Linked DNA regions of Ovis aries. The protein of the gene in region 2 interacts with the protein of the main gene of each other region in a pairwise test. Links are inferred from orthologs where the notes say so. Each region holds a gene or a part of one and is shown on either strand. Other genes may lie near its edges. The genes, in order: COPS4, USHBP1 and SEC14-like protein 4.

Evidence for each region.
Region 1: the proteins of USHBP1 (region 2) and COPS4 interact in binary tests that used the Homo sapiens proteins (3 or more experiments, as listed by UniProt). The two-hybrid records come from large-scale screens. The link is inferred for Ovis aries from reciprocal best matches to the Homo sapiens genes USHBP1 and COPS4.
Region 3: the proteins of USHBP1 (region 2) and SEC14-like protein 4 interact in binary tests that used the Homo sapiens proteins (3 or more experiments, as listed by UniProt). The two-hybrid records come from large-scale screens. The link is inferred for Ovis aries from reciprocal best matches to the Homo sapiens genes USHBP1 and SEC14L4.

What each region holds. Positions count from the first base shown.
Region 1 is NC_056059.1:98,576,369-98,580,018, forward strand, and holds part of COPS4 (COP9 signalosome complex subunit 4), read left to right. Parts: intron 1-3,497; coding exon 3,498-3,631; 3' UTR 3,632-3,650. UniProt on the Homo sapiens protein: Component of the COP9 signalosome complex (CSN), a complex involved in various cellular and developmental processes.
Region 2 is NC_056058.1:5,619,023-5,622,772, reverse strand, and holds the start of USHBP1 (harmonin-binding protein USHBP1), read right to left. Parts: upstream 2,365-3,750; 5' UTR 1,907-2,364; coding exon 1,853-1,906; intron 1,759-1,852; coding exon 1,610-1,758; intron 1,387-1,609; coding exon 963-1,386; intron 1-962.
Region 3 is NC_056070.1:69,462,068-69,465,717, forward strand, and holds part of SEC14-like protein 4, read right to left. Parts: intron 557-3,650; coding exon 513-556; intron 225-512; coding exon 165-224; intron 38-164; coding exon 1-37. UniProt on the Homo sapiens protein: Probable hydrophobic ligand-binding protein; may play a role in the transport of hydrophobic ligands like tocopherol, squalene and phospholipids.

The DNA.
Region 1 (3,650 bases), on a different chromosome or scaffold from region 2:
GAAAAAAGAAATAAAAACCAAATGATTCAGTGTCTATTCCATTACATGCTGGTTGAATGGTTTCCCCATTGCTTGTAGAGTAAAATTCTGCAAAGTCTCCAAAAGATCGTGCATGACCCTTTATGAATTTCTCTTTCCAGTCCAGCCCACAGGTCTTTTTGTTTTCTCCATCACTGTAAGTTCCTTCCCATATCAGACATTCCAGAATAGCCATCCCTCCACAGCTAGCCTCTCCAGTCATCTTCTATTGGTCCCCATGTCTTAGTTTCAACAGCGTTAATCAATAATGATTTTCCTGACTCCTCAGTTTAGGAGTAGCTCTAAGTTATATGTTCTTGTCACCCTGAATTTCTTGCTAGCATTAATCATAATTATTTCCATTTCTGTAGCTCTTTGTCTAAATGCCTGTTTCTGTTACCAAGCTCAGCTTCCTAGTGATCAATATTAAGTGTTTCTTGTTCTCCATATGTCCAACATCTTTTCCAATGCCCTGCCTATTGTAAGTGGGAAATAAATAATTATTGAATTAACAAATACAGTATATGATGAATAGTATAGCAGAGGGGTCACCAAGTAAAAGAACAATTTAAATTAATGTCTGCCAACTTGATAGAATATGGAATATTTTCCTTTCTAATTTTCTTAGATTAAAAAAATTACAATGGTAAATCTGCTCTTATTAAGAAGTAAATATTACACCAGTAACTAAAGGAAGAGTCTCTAATATCTTTTCACTGTCTCTTGCATTCCTCTAACCCCACCTGTCTGGCACAACTAATATCAGTCTGAAATCTTGTCTGTCTTTCTGCATGCTTATATAGAGAAGTAAAAAAAGGTAGGGACTTTAAAAAATGGCGTCCTGCCTTAAAGTACATAGTATTCTACAAAGTGTTTTTTTTTTTTTTTTAAGTTAATGTACCATGAACATATTTTCAAGTCACTAGATATAAAATCTAATTTATTTGTTTTAATAGTTGTGTGGTTATTTCATGGAGTTCAACTGTTCACCTGTTGCTAGACATTCAGGTGGTTTCCTTGTGCAAATCTTTAAGTCCTGGGACACTTAGTTCTCTAGAATGAAGTCTCAGAAGTTGCATACTTTGATGTTTCAGAGGATATATGTATTTTGATTAATAGCTACTCAGAAAGCTATAGCCATTTACGCTTCCACCAACATGAGAAATGAAGCTTTAACAATTGGATATTCTTTGTTTTTCATCTTTTGCCTGTTGTTGGGGGGAAATACTGCATTATTGTCTTACTGTACATTTCCTTGGCACTGGTGAAGTTTAAATCTTTCCATGTGTTGGTCATTAGCATTTTCTCATCTGTGAATTGTTATTTTTTCTTACATATTTCCTTCCTTTCTTCTCCATACCTTTCCTATATCAATGTTACAGATACTTTTCTCATTCTATCAGTTGAGTTTCTGTTAGGCAATGTGTACCATAAACCCTAACCCCAGACACATTTAAAAGTTTTTTTGCAGCCAAATCTGTCCATTTTTAATTTTATGACTTTTGTGTTTTCTGTATTGAGTAAGAAAGTCTCCTTCATTTTGGGGTTAAATTAATATTTAAAGTTTCTTTAATATTTTATTTATTGTTTTATATTTACAAATTCAGTCTGTAGTTCATTTTTGTGTATAATTTTAAATCATAGTCTAGCTGTTTTTTTTTAAAGATAGATTGCCAATTATGTGAGTATCATTTATTAAATAAAGCATCCTTTCTGATCTTTGAAGTGTATTAGGTTTCACGTGGTGCTAGTTGTAAAGAACCCGACTGCCAGTGCAGGAAATGTAAGAGACGTGGGCTTGATCCCTGGGTCAGGAAGATCCCGTGGAGTAGGGCAAGGCAACCTACTCCAGTATTCTTGCCCGGAGAATCCCATGGGCAGAGGAGCCTGGCGGGCTGCAGTCCGTAGAGCTGCAAAGAGTCAGACACAACTGAAGCGGCTTAGCACGCACACACGTTTCACAAATTAGTTTGGATCTCTTTCTGTTCCATGGATCTGTAACAATATTGCATAATTTATAAGAGAGTTTGCTCTTGATAGAGCAGACCCTGTCCCTCCACTACTATTTTTTAATTGAGTCGAGATTCACATCTGTGAGATTAATCATTCCGTATCATTTAGTATGTTTCCAGTGTTGTACAGCCACCATCTCTGCCTGGTTCCAGAATAGTTTTATCTTCTCAAAAAGAAGCCCCATGCCCCTTAAGCACTTACTCCTCATACCTCTCTCTCTCCAGGCCCTGGCAGCTAATTTCTGTTGTTTCTATGGATTTACCTGTTGTGGATATTTGATATGAATGAAACCATGCAATATGTGACCTTTCAGCTTCTTTCACGTAATGTAGTGTTTTCAAGTTTCACTCATGTTATAACATGTAGTCAGTACTTCATTCCTTTCTAAGGCTGAGTAATACTTAGTTGTGTAGATGTACTATAATCCTTCCCCTGTTTTTAATTTTCAAAATTATCTTGGCTATTCTCAAACATCAGTTTTTCCATATTAACTTCAGTAATTTTATCTTGTTCAGGAAGCAAAACAGAGAAAGGGGGGATTGTCTTGGAAATTTCTTTAAATTTATGTATTAATAGAAAAGGACTGATATTTCTAAGATACTACATCTTTCCAGCTGGAAATGTGGTTTGTATCTGCTCAAGTTATTTTATGTCCTTTAGTCAGATTTTATAGTTTTTTTTCCCGTCATTAATTCTGTGCCCAAATTTGTAAATGTTGATGCTGTTTTGGATGGAGCTGCTCCCTCCCTAGTTTTTCATTTCTAACTGCAGATTGCTGTGCAGAGAAAAGCCTGCTAGATCATGAGGTTTTTTGTTTGGAGTTTAAATATTAAAATATTCTTTAGAGTCCAGTAGAGACAGCGTGGAGTAGGTAAATAGGCTTACTTTCCCCAGTAGGTGGCAGTGTCTTATGAAGGTATAAAGTGAAAGAAAGTGAAAGTCGCTCAGTCCTGTCGAACTCTTTGTGACCCCACAGACTATACACTCCATGGAATTCTCTAGGCCAGAATACTGGAGTGGGTAGCCTTTCCCTTCTCCAGGGGATCTTCCCAATCCAAGGATCAAACCCAGGTCTCCTGCGTTGCCGGCAGATTTTTTACCAACTGAGCCACCAGGGAAGCCCAAGAATCCTGGAGTGGGTAGCCTGTCCCTCCTCCAGGGGATCTTAAGGTATAAACTGAGTGAGAAAAGCACTTCAGTGCTTTAACTTCAGTGAAGTCATCTTACTGTTGTGGATGAGGTGGTTTGATTGGTTTTATTTTGTATATTTTTGTTTTGTTTTATATTCTGTGCCAGTGACTGGAGTACTTTTCTTAACTGTTGCTTAATTAGCTTAATTTTATCAGCCAAGAGTTTCGTATTAAACTTTTAAAAATCAGCGTTTCTGTATTTTGTCTTCTAATTCACATTCACTATGGTCGCAAAGGAGTAACTTCAGCTTTGTACATTATTCCTTTTTTCTCTAGCACGAGAAGCCCTGCCAACATGGGACAAACAGATCCAGTCACTGTGTTTCCAAGTGAATAACCTGCTGGAGAAGATTAGCCAGACAGCACCAGAATGGACAGCTCAAGCCATGGAGGCCCAGATGGCTCAGTGACTCCTGCAGGCCGTCTGTG
Region 2 (3,750 bases):
CCAAAGCCGCCAGAGGGCGCCTGTGAGCACCTGCATCAGGTCTCCATCCTTGTTTGCTCAGAGCCCTCCGTGCCGTCCACCTCACTCAGAGCAAAAGTTCAAACCCTCCTTGAGGCCCACAAGGCCCTCCGGGATCTGCTCCCATCACCTCGGTACCCTTGTCTCCTCCTGCTCAGCCCCATACTGGCCTCCTCACTGTTTCTTGAACGCACTAATCACACTCCAACCTCCAGCCTTTGCGTATACTGTTCCTAGAGCCTAAAATGCTCTACCCCGGTTCCTTACATGTTTCCTCCCTTGCCTCCTTGTGGTCTTTATTCAAGTGTCATTTCTTCGATGGGCCTCTCTGATCCTCTTAACTAAAGTTGCAAGGGATCTTTGTCTCTTTGGGGTTGCCGACAAAGGTCCGTACAGTCAAGCTATGGTTTCTCCAGTAGTCAATTATGGATGTGAGAGTTGGACCATAAAGAAAGCTGAACGCCAAAGAATTGATGCTTTTGAACTGTGGTGTTGGAAAAGACTCTTGAGAATTCCTTGGATAGCAAGGAGATCAAACCAAGCAATCCTAAAAGAAATCAGCCCTGACTACTCATTGGAAGGACGGATGCTGAAGTTGAAGCTCCAATACTTTGGCCACCTGATACAAAGAGCCGACTCATTGGAAACGACCCTGATGCTGGGAAAGACTGGAAGGCAGGAGAAGAGGGTGACAGAGGATGAGAGGGTTAGATAGCATCACCGACTCAATGGATATAAGTTTGAGCAAACTCTGGGAGATGGTGAAAGACAGAGAAGCCTGGCATGCTGCAGGCTGCTGGACATGAGTGAGCAACTGAACATCAGCAAGGCAAGTCAAAGCTCCAAAAAAATCTTCACAAATGAACAAACGATTCAATGTGTCTTATGCCAGGCCTGCCTCCCTCCCACCAGGGATCCCTGGGAGGCAGCCCTGCCCAACTCACCTCTCTCTGCAGCATCTCCTTCTCAGCCTGGAAGGCCTGCAGGGAGTTCTGTGTGCAGATCAGCTCATCCTCCCGGCTGCCCAAGGCCAAACGCAGCCAGGCATTCCTTTCAGCCAATCGGGCTGCCTCCCGCTGGCAGCTCCCAGCCCCCTCCTGCTCCAAGCAGGGCTTTGATGCCCCCTCGCTTCCGTCCTTTGCCTCCACTGGCCCAGGACAGTTTGGGGGCCGGTGGCGCCAGGCAGCAACGGCTGCTTCCAGAGAGCTCAGCGCTTGCTGGAGAGTCTGAAATACATCAGGTCCAGAGGGGACGCTCTCCCCGTCCTGCAGGACTGTCTCTGGGGCCTGGTGGGTTTCCTCACGGGGCCGCCCCTCAGGGGCTGGGGCTGGTCCCCTGCTAGAGTCCCCATCAACTTCTTTGTCAGTCCTGTGAAGAGGTGAGAGATGGAAATTTCTGGAAATGGGGTCATTTGAGGTAGCTAACACACAGAGGGTTTGTAACAAGGCTAGGACTGCAGGGCCTTGAAAGCCAGGCCAAGGGCAATGGGAGCCATGGCATGTGTGTGAGTCGGGGAGGGACATAAACCCATCTCTGAGTGGGAAAGATGTGCCAGGTCTGCAGTGGGGGACACAGACAAAGTGGGCCTTACCTGCTCTCCAAGCCCTGCCCTTTGGCCTCCACCTCAGAGGCCAACAGTTCCACCTTGGTGCTATCTTGAGATGCCACAGGGCCCGGCTCAGAGCTCCCACTGGCTGCCTCAGCCTCCTCTGAACTCTCTGCCACAGGGTCCAGCTCACCCTGCAAATGATCCCCAGGGCTGAGCTCTGAGCCAAGCAGATCTGGGTGCTGGAGTCTTGCAGGGTTGGGTGTGGCAGGGAGGGGGAACACTTACGGGCAGAGCATGTCTCCCTCGCCGGCTTCGGGGCCGTGTGGCCCTGGCACTCATTGTTATCCAGAAATCAGTGTCTTCTGAATCCTCCTTTATCCTCACCCGCTAAAACCACAACCTGACTTCAGCTCAAAGCAAATGACAACCTTAATTTCGTCTTCTGTGAAATGGGCATTGATTTCACTTCTCCAAAAGGCTCTTGAGTTATCAATGTAGATTTGGCACATTTGAATGCCTCCCTTGATGGACAGCTCACTACCTCTCAAGGTTGCCCTGACCTCTTCCTTCTCTTCCGTCTCCTTGATTTTCCTCTCTCTCTTTGCTCCCCTCCCTCCCCTATCCGGGCTTGGGAGGAGGAGTTCAACAGTCCTCTCTCCTCCTCAGGGCTCTCCTGAACCAGAGATTCTAATCCTGGGATTTGGTTCCCTCAGCCCGCTCTACTTCCCTATCCTCCTGGGGGGTACCTTGGTCCGAAAACCAAGTCCCAGGACATTCTTGGAGTCACTCTGGCCACTGCCCGCTCAAGCTCGGGCTGGCCGAGGCCAGCCTGGGAGGGGCCGGGAAACAGGAAGCCCCCTCCCCGGCCATGTGACCTGTTATTGTGTACTTTCTTCCTCAAGGGCAGCGACTTCCTCTAGCCCCAGCAACAGGACGCATGGCCAGCTCCCGACATGTCAGCCCCTCCTCGCCTCTGCTTCCCAGGCCGAGGCTCCTCCAACTCTGACCCTTGGATTTGATTTCTTGGAAGCTAGAGTGCCACTCTGGGCTGATGCTCTCCACCTGGCTTCCCTATGAACTTCTTTCCTCTGACTGTCCCTTCAGTGTGAGAGTTCTCGTTCCACTTCAAGTCACGGACAGACCTGGGGTTGGGACCCCTGAGCAAGCGATGAGCCTCAGCACATGAGCCTCAGTTTCTTTGTCTCCCTTCAGTGTCACAGGAGGTTTTTGTTTTGTTTTGTTTCTAAACAAAAACAATTTTCTGAACGATAGCTGATTTACAATGTTGTATTAGTTTCAGGTATGCAGCAAAGGTTTTTATTTTTCTTCTTTTCTTTTAGAATATTACAAATTCTTTTTTATTCTTTCTCAGGTTCTTTCCATCATAGGATTACAAGATACTGAATATAATTCCCTGTGCCTTATGTAGGTCCTCATTGTTTATTGTATATAGTGTGTACCTGTTCATCTCAAACTCCTAATTTATCTCTCCCCTACTTCCCCTTTGGTAACTATAAATTTGCTTTCTTATGTCTGTGAGTCTATTTCTGTTTTGTAAGTAAGATCATTTGTATCGTTTTCCCCCCAAATTTAACTGCACATCTTGTATTTTATTTTTAAATTAAAAAATTATTTATTTATTTATTTATTTATGGCTATGTTGGGTCTTCCGGAGAAGGCAATGGCAGCCCACTCCAGTACTCTTGTCTGGAAAATCCCATGGATGGAGGAGCCTGGTGGGCTGCAGTCCATGGGGTCGCTAAGAGTCGGGCACGACTGAGCGACTTCACTTCCACTTTTCACTTTCATGCATTGGAGAAGGAAATGGCAGCCCACTCCAGTGTTCTTGCCTGGAGAATCCCAGGGACGGGGGAGCCTGGTGGGCTGCCGTCTATGGGGTCGCACAGAGTCGGACACAACTGAGGCGACTTAGCAGCAGCAGCATGCTGGCTCTTCACTGCTGCGTCAGCTTTTTCCTCTAGTTGTGGTGAGCGGGGATACTCTCTACTGGGGGTGAGTGGGCTTCTCATGGCCATGGCTGCTCTTGTTGCGGAGCAGTTTTGAGGCACACAGGCTTCAGTAGTTGCAGCACATGAGCTCAGAAGTTGTGGCTCCTGGGCTCCAGAGCACAGGCTCAGCCGCTGTGGAGCATGGGCTCAGTTGCTCCATGGCACGTCGATCTT
Region 3 (3,650 bases), on a different chromosome or scaffold from region 2:
AGCCGCACAGGCCGCCGGCGTCGTACCGCTGGACCACCTGGACACGGGGTGAGGTCCTGACTCGAAGCAGCCCCCCAGGCCAGGTCCCCACTCCCTCGGGCGGCTGGACGCGGTGGGTGAGTTGAGGGGGCAGCAGTGGCCTGGGGGACCCCACGTGGGCTCACCTCTGAGGGCTTCCACTCGAGGATGTTGTCCAGGTCCTGTTGCTTGCGGAACTCCACATGCTGCGGAGGCACGGCTGGACTTGCAGACTGCCTGCCCCAGAGGTTCACAGGCCACGCCCCTCTGCCCACGGACACCAGGATCCCGCCAGAGCCACCCCAGGCACCACCAACATAGGACTGGGGGTGGGAACGCCGGGACGAGGGCTGTGGGGGACCCGCATCTGAGGCAGAAAGGGATGGAGGGGGAAGGACTGGGCAAGAGTCCCCGGCCTCTGTCAATAATCCCTGGGGATAATTCCGGGGGTGCAACGTGTAGGAGACAGGATGCTCGTGAGCACGGGGTCTCACCTTACGGAGCATGTCCTCTGATCTCTGCAGGTCAAAGTTCCGGGCTGCAAGAAGGAGTGGTAAGAGGAGGCTGGAGGCAGAATGCAGCCTAAGCTATTCTCTGACAACTCATAAAGAGATAAGCTCCAGGGGCAAGGAAGGTACACCTTCCTGATGCTCCAGGAATACACCGGGAGTCTGGAATTTTTTTTTTTTTTTAAAGCAAGGATCTTTAATCCTCTTGAAGACTGTGGAAGGCCCCTGATTTCATTTTCCAGGACTTAAAAAAAGAGATTTATTGAAGTATAGTTGATTTATAATGTCATATTAATTTCTGCTCTACAGCAAAGTGATCCAGTTATACATACATATGTGTTCTTTTTCATAATGGTTTACTATAGGATACTGAATATAGTATCTAGTAGCAATGGCACCCCACTCCAGCACTCTTGCCTGGAAAATCCCATGGATGGAGGAGCCTGGTGGGCTGCAGTCCATGGGGTCGCGAAGAGCTGGACACGACTGAGTGACTTCACTTTCACTTTTCACTATCATGCATTGGAGAAGGAAATGGCAACCCACTCCAGTGTTCTTGCCTGGAGAATCCCAGGGACGGGGGAGCCTGGTGGGCTGCCGTCTATGGGGTCACACAGAGTCAGACACGACTGAAGCGACTTAGCAGCAGCAGCAGCAGCAACGATTGCCAAGGCAACGATATTTATCACATTACATAGTCATATTCCTCAGAGTCAGACATGACTGAAGCTACTTAGCAGCAGCAGCAGCAGCAGCATATACTATCCAGGCCTTTATTTTTTAGATATTTATTTATCTGGCTGTGCCGGGTCTTAGCAGCAGCACTTTTGAGTCTTTGTTGCAGCACGTGGGATGCTGTGGCGGCATGTAGCATCTAGTTCCCTGACCAGGGATCAAACCAGGGCCCCCTGCATTAAGAAAGAGCTCAGAGACTTAGCCACTGGACCACCAGAGAAATTCCTCCAGACCTTTTAAACTTGTTCACTCTAGAGCTGATCTAGCCTGCAACCTTTAACATCCCCCAGGAAGCAGAGATGCCCCCGGTGTTAGGAGGGGTAAGAGCATGGGCTTTGGAGTCAGATTTGAGCTTAAACTCTAGTTTTGTCCTTTTATTTGCTGTGCAACCATGAGTAAGTCACTTACATTCTCTGAGCCTTAGTTTATCTGGGACTATCATTTTAAGAGTTATTCAAAGGATGTCCTGAAGGACTTTTGTCTTATAAATAACATTTGAACCTTTTCTGAGGCCCTTTTCTGCATCGAGATAGCCATACAATTTCTTATCTTTAACTCCATTACTGTGTTCGATGACACTGATAGGTTCTCCTTTCTTGTCTTTTTTTTGGCTGTATGACTTGTGGGATTGTCCTGATGAGGGAGCGAACCAGTGCCCCCTGAAATGGAAGCTCTAAGTCTAACCACTGGACCACCAGGGAATTCCCTAAGTTTTCTGATGTTGAACACTTCTTGCATACCCAAGATAAACTCTCCTTGATACTATTGCATAATTTTAATACCTTCTTGGATTCTGTTATGCAATATTTTATTTAGACATCTTTACATCTACATTAGTAAGTGAAATGAGCCTAGAATTTCCTTTTATTGTCCTTAGCTAGCTTGGGAATCAAACGTGCCCAAGCCTCATAAAATAAATCTCACTCTTTCACATATTTGAAAACAACTCAAACAATTTGTATACCTAGAAATTAGCTGGTATTAAAACTGGAGGAATTCACCTGCAAAGCCATTTGTGGTCTGAGTTTGGAGGGGAGGGGACGTTTTTATTACCATTTAAATGTCTTTCATATTTACTGATCTGTTGAGAGCTTTCTTTGTCTTCTTCCAGGAATGTATCCATTTCATTTAAATTTTCAAATTTGTTAGTGCATAAATCATAGCTGATATTCTTTTATTGACTTTAAAAATATCTGTGAGATGTCTCTAGGAGATTTTTCTGCTGAGAACCAGAGAGTGGTTTCTGGTCCTATAGACAGTGGTTTGGACACTGCTACTGGGTCCTCAAAACTTTTTTACTATGTGTCAGACTTGGAGTACCGGGCAGGCACAGTCCCTGCCCTCGTGGAGGTGGCATCCAAGAGGGAGAGATGGACCCAGACGAGGGATGGGGACAAAGGAAAACAAAGGAATCAGCCTCAGAGGGTCAGGAAAGCTCCTCAGCCTCTGGCTGAGCTCAGCCCTGGCCTTTGACCCTGTCTGGAGCCTGTGAGGCTGGGAGGAGAGCTGAGCTGAAGGGGGCGGGGCCGCATCAGCAGATCTGCGGCACTGTGAAGGGGAGGCGTCGGACGCCTGCACCCTCTTCCCGTCTCAGGTCCTTTTCCTTCCCCTGACCCAGCCGCCTGCAGCGCATACGGTTTCACTCTTTTATCTAAGACCCACGAGGTACCTGAAAAGCTGATTTTTAAACCCAAAAAGATTCAAAGGAGGAGGAGAGAGGTCTGAGGCTGTATCAAGTGGCTTTAAGAAATCTACCGTCCCCAAAATGGTCCAGATGAACCTATTGGCGGAGCAGGAATAGAGGTGCAGATGTAAAGAATGGATGTGTGGACTCAGGGAGGAAGGGGAGGCTGGGGCAAACCGAGGGAGCAGCCCTGACACACACACTCGCTGTGTAAAGCAGACAGGATGCAGGCTGGGGGTGGGTGCTCGGGGCCTGATGACCCAGAGGGGCGGGATGGGAGGGTGGGTGCTCGCCCCGTGATGACCCAGAGGGGCAGACAGGATGCAGGATGGGGGGGTGGGTGCTCGGGGCCTGATGACCCAGAGGGGCGGGATGGGAGGGTGGGTGCTCGCCCCGTGATGACCCAGAGGGGCGGGATGGGGGGTGGGTGCTCGCCCCGTGATGACCCAGAGGGGCAGACAGGATGCAGGATGGGGGGGTGGGTGCTCGGCCCCGTGATGACCCAGAGGGGTGGGATGGGGGTGGGTGCTCGGGGCCTGATGACCCAGAGGGGCGGGATCGGGGGGTTGGTGCTCAGGGCCCTGTGATCACCTAGAGGGGCGGGAGGGAAGTGCAAGGGGAAGGGCATGTATGTATACATAGAACCGATTCACTTTGTTGTACAGCAGAAACTAACAGCATTGTAAAGCAATTATACTCCACAT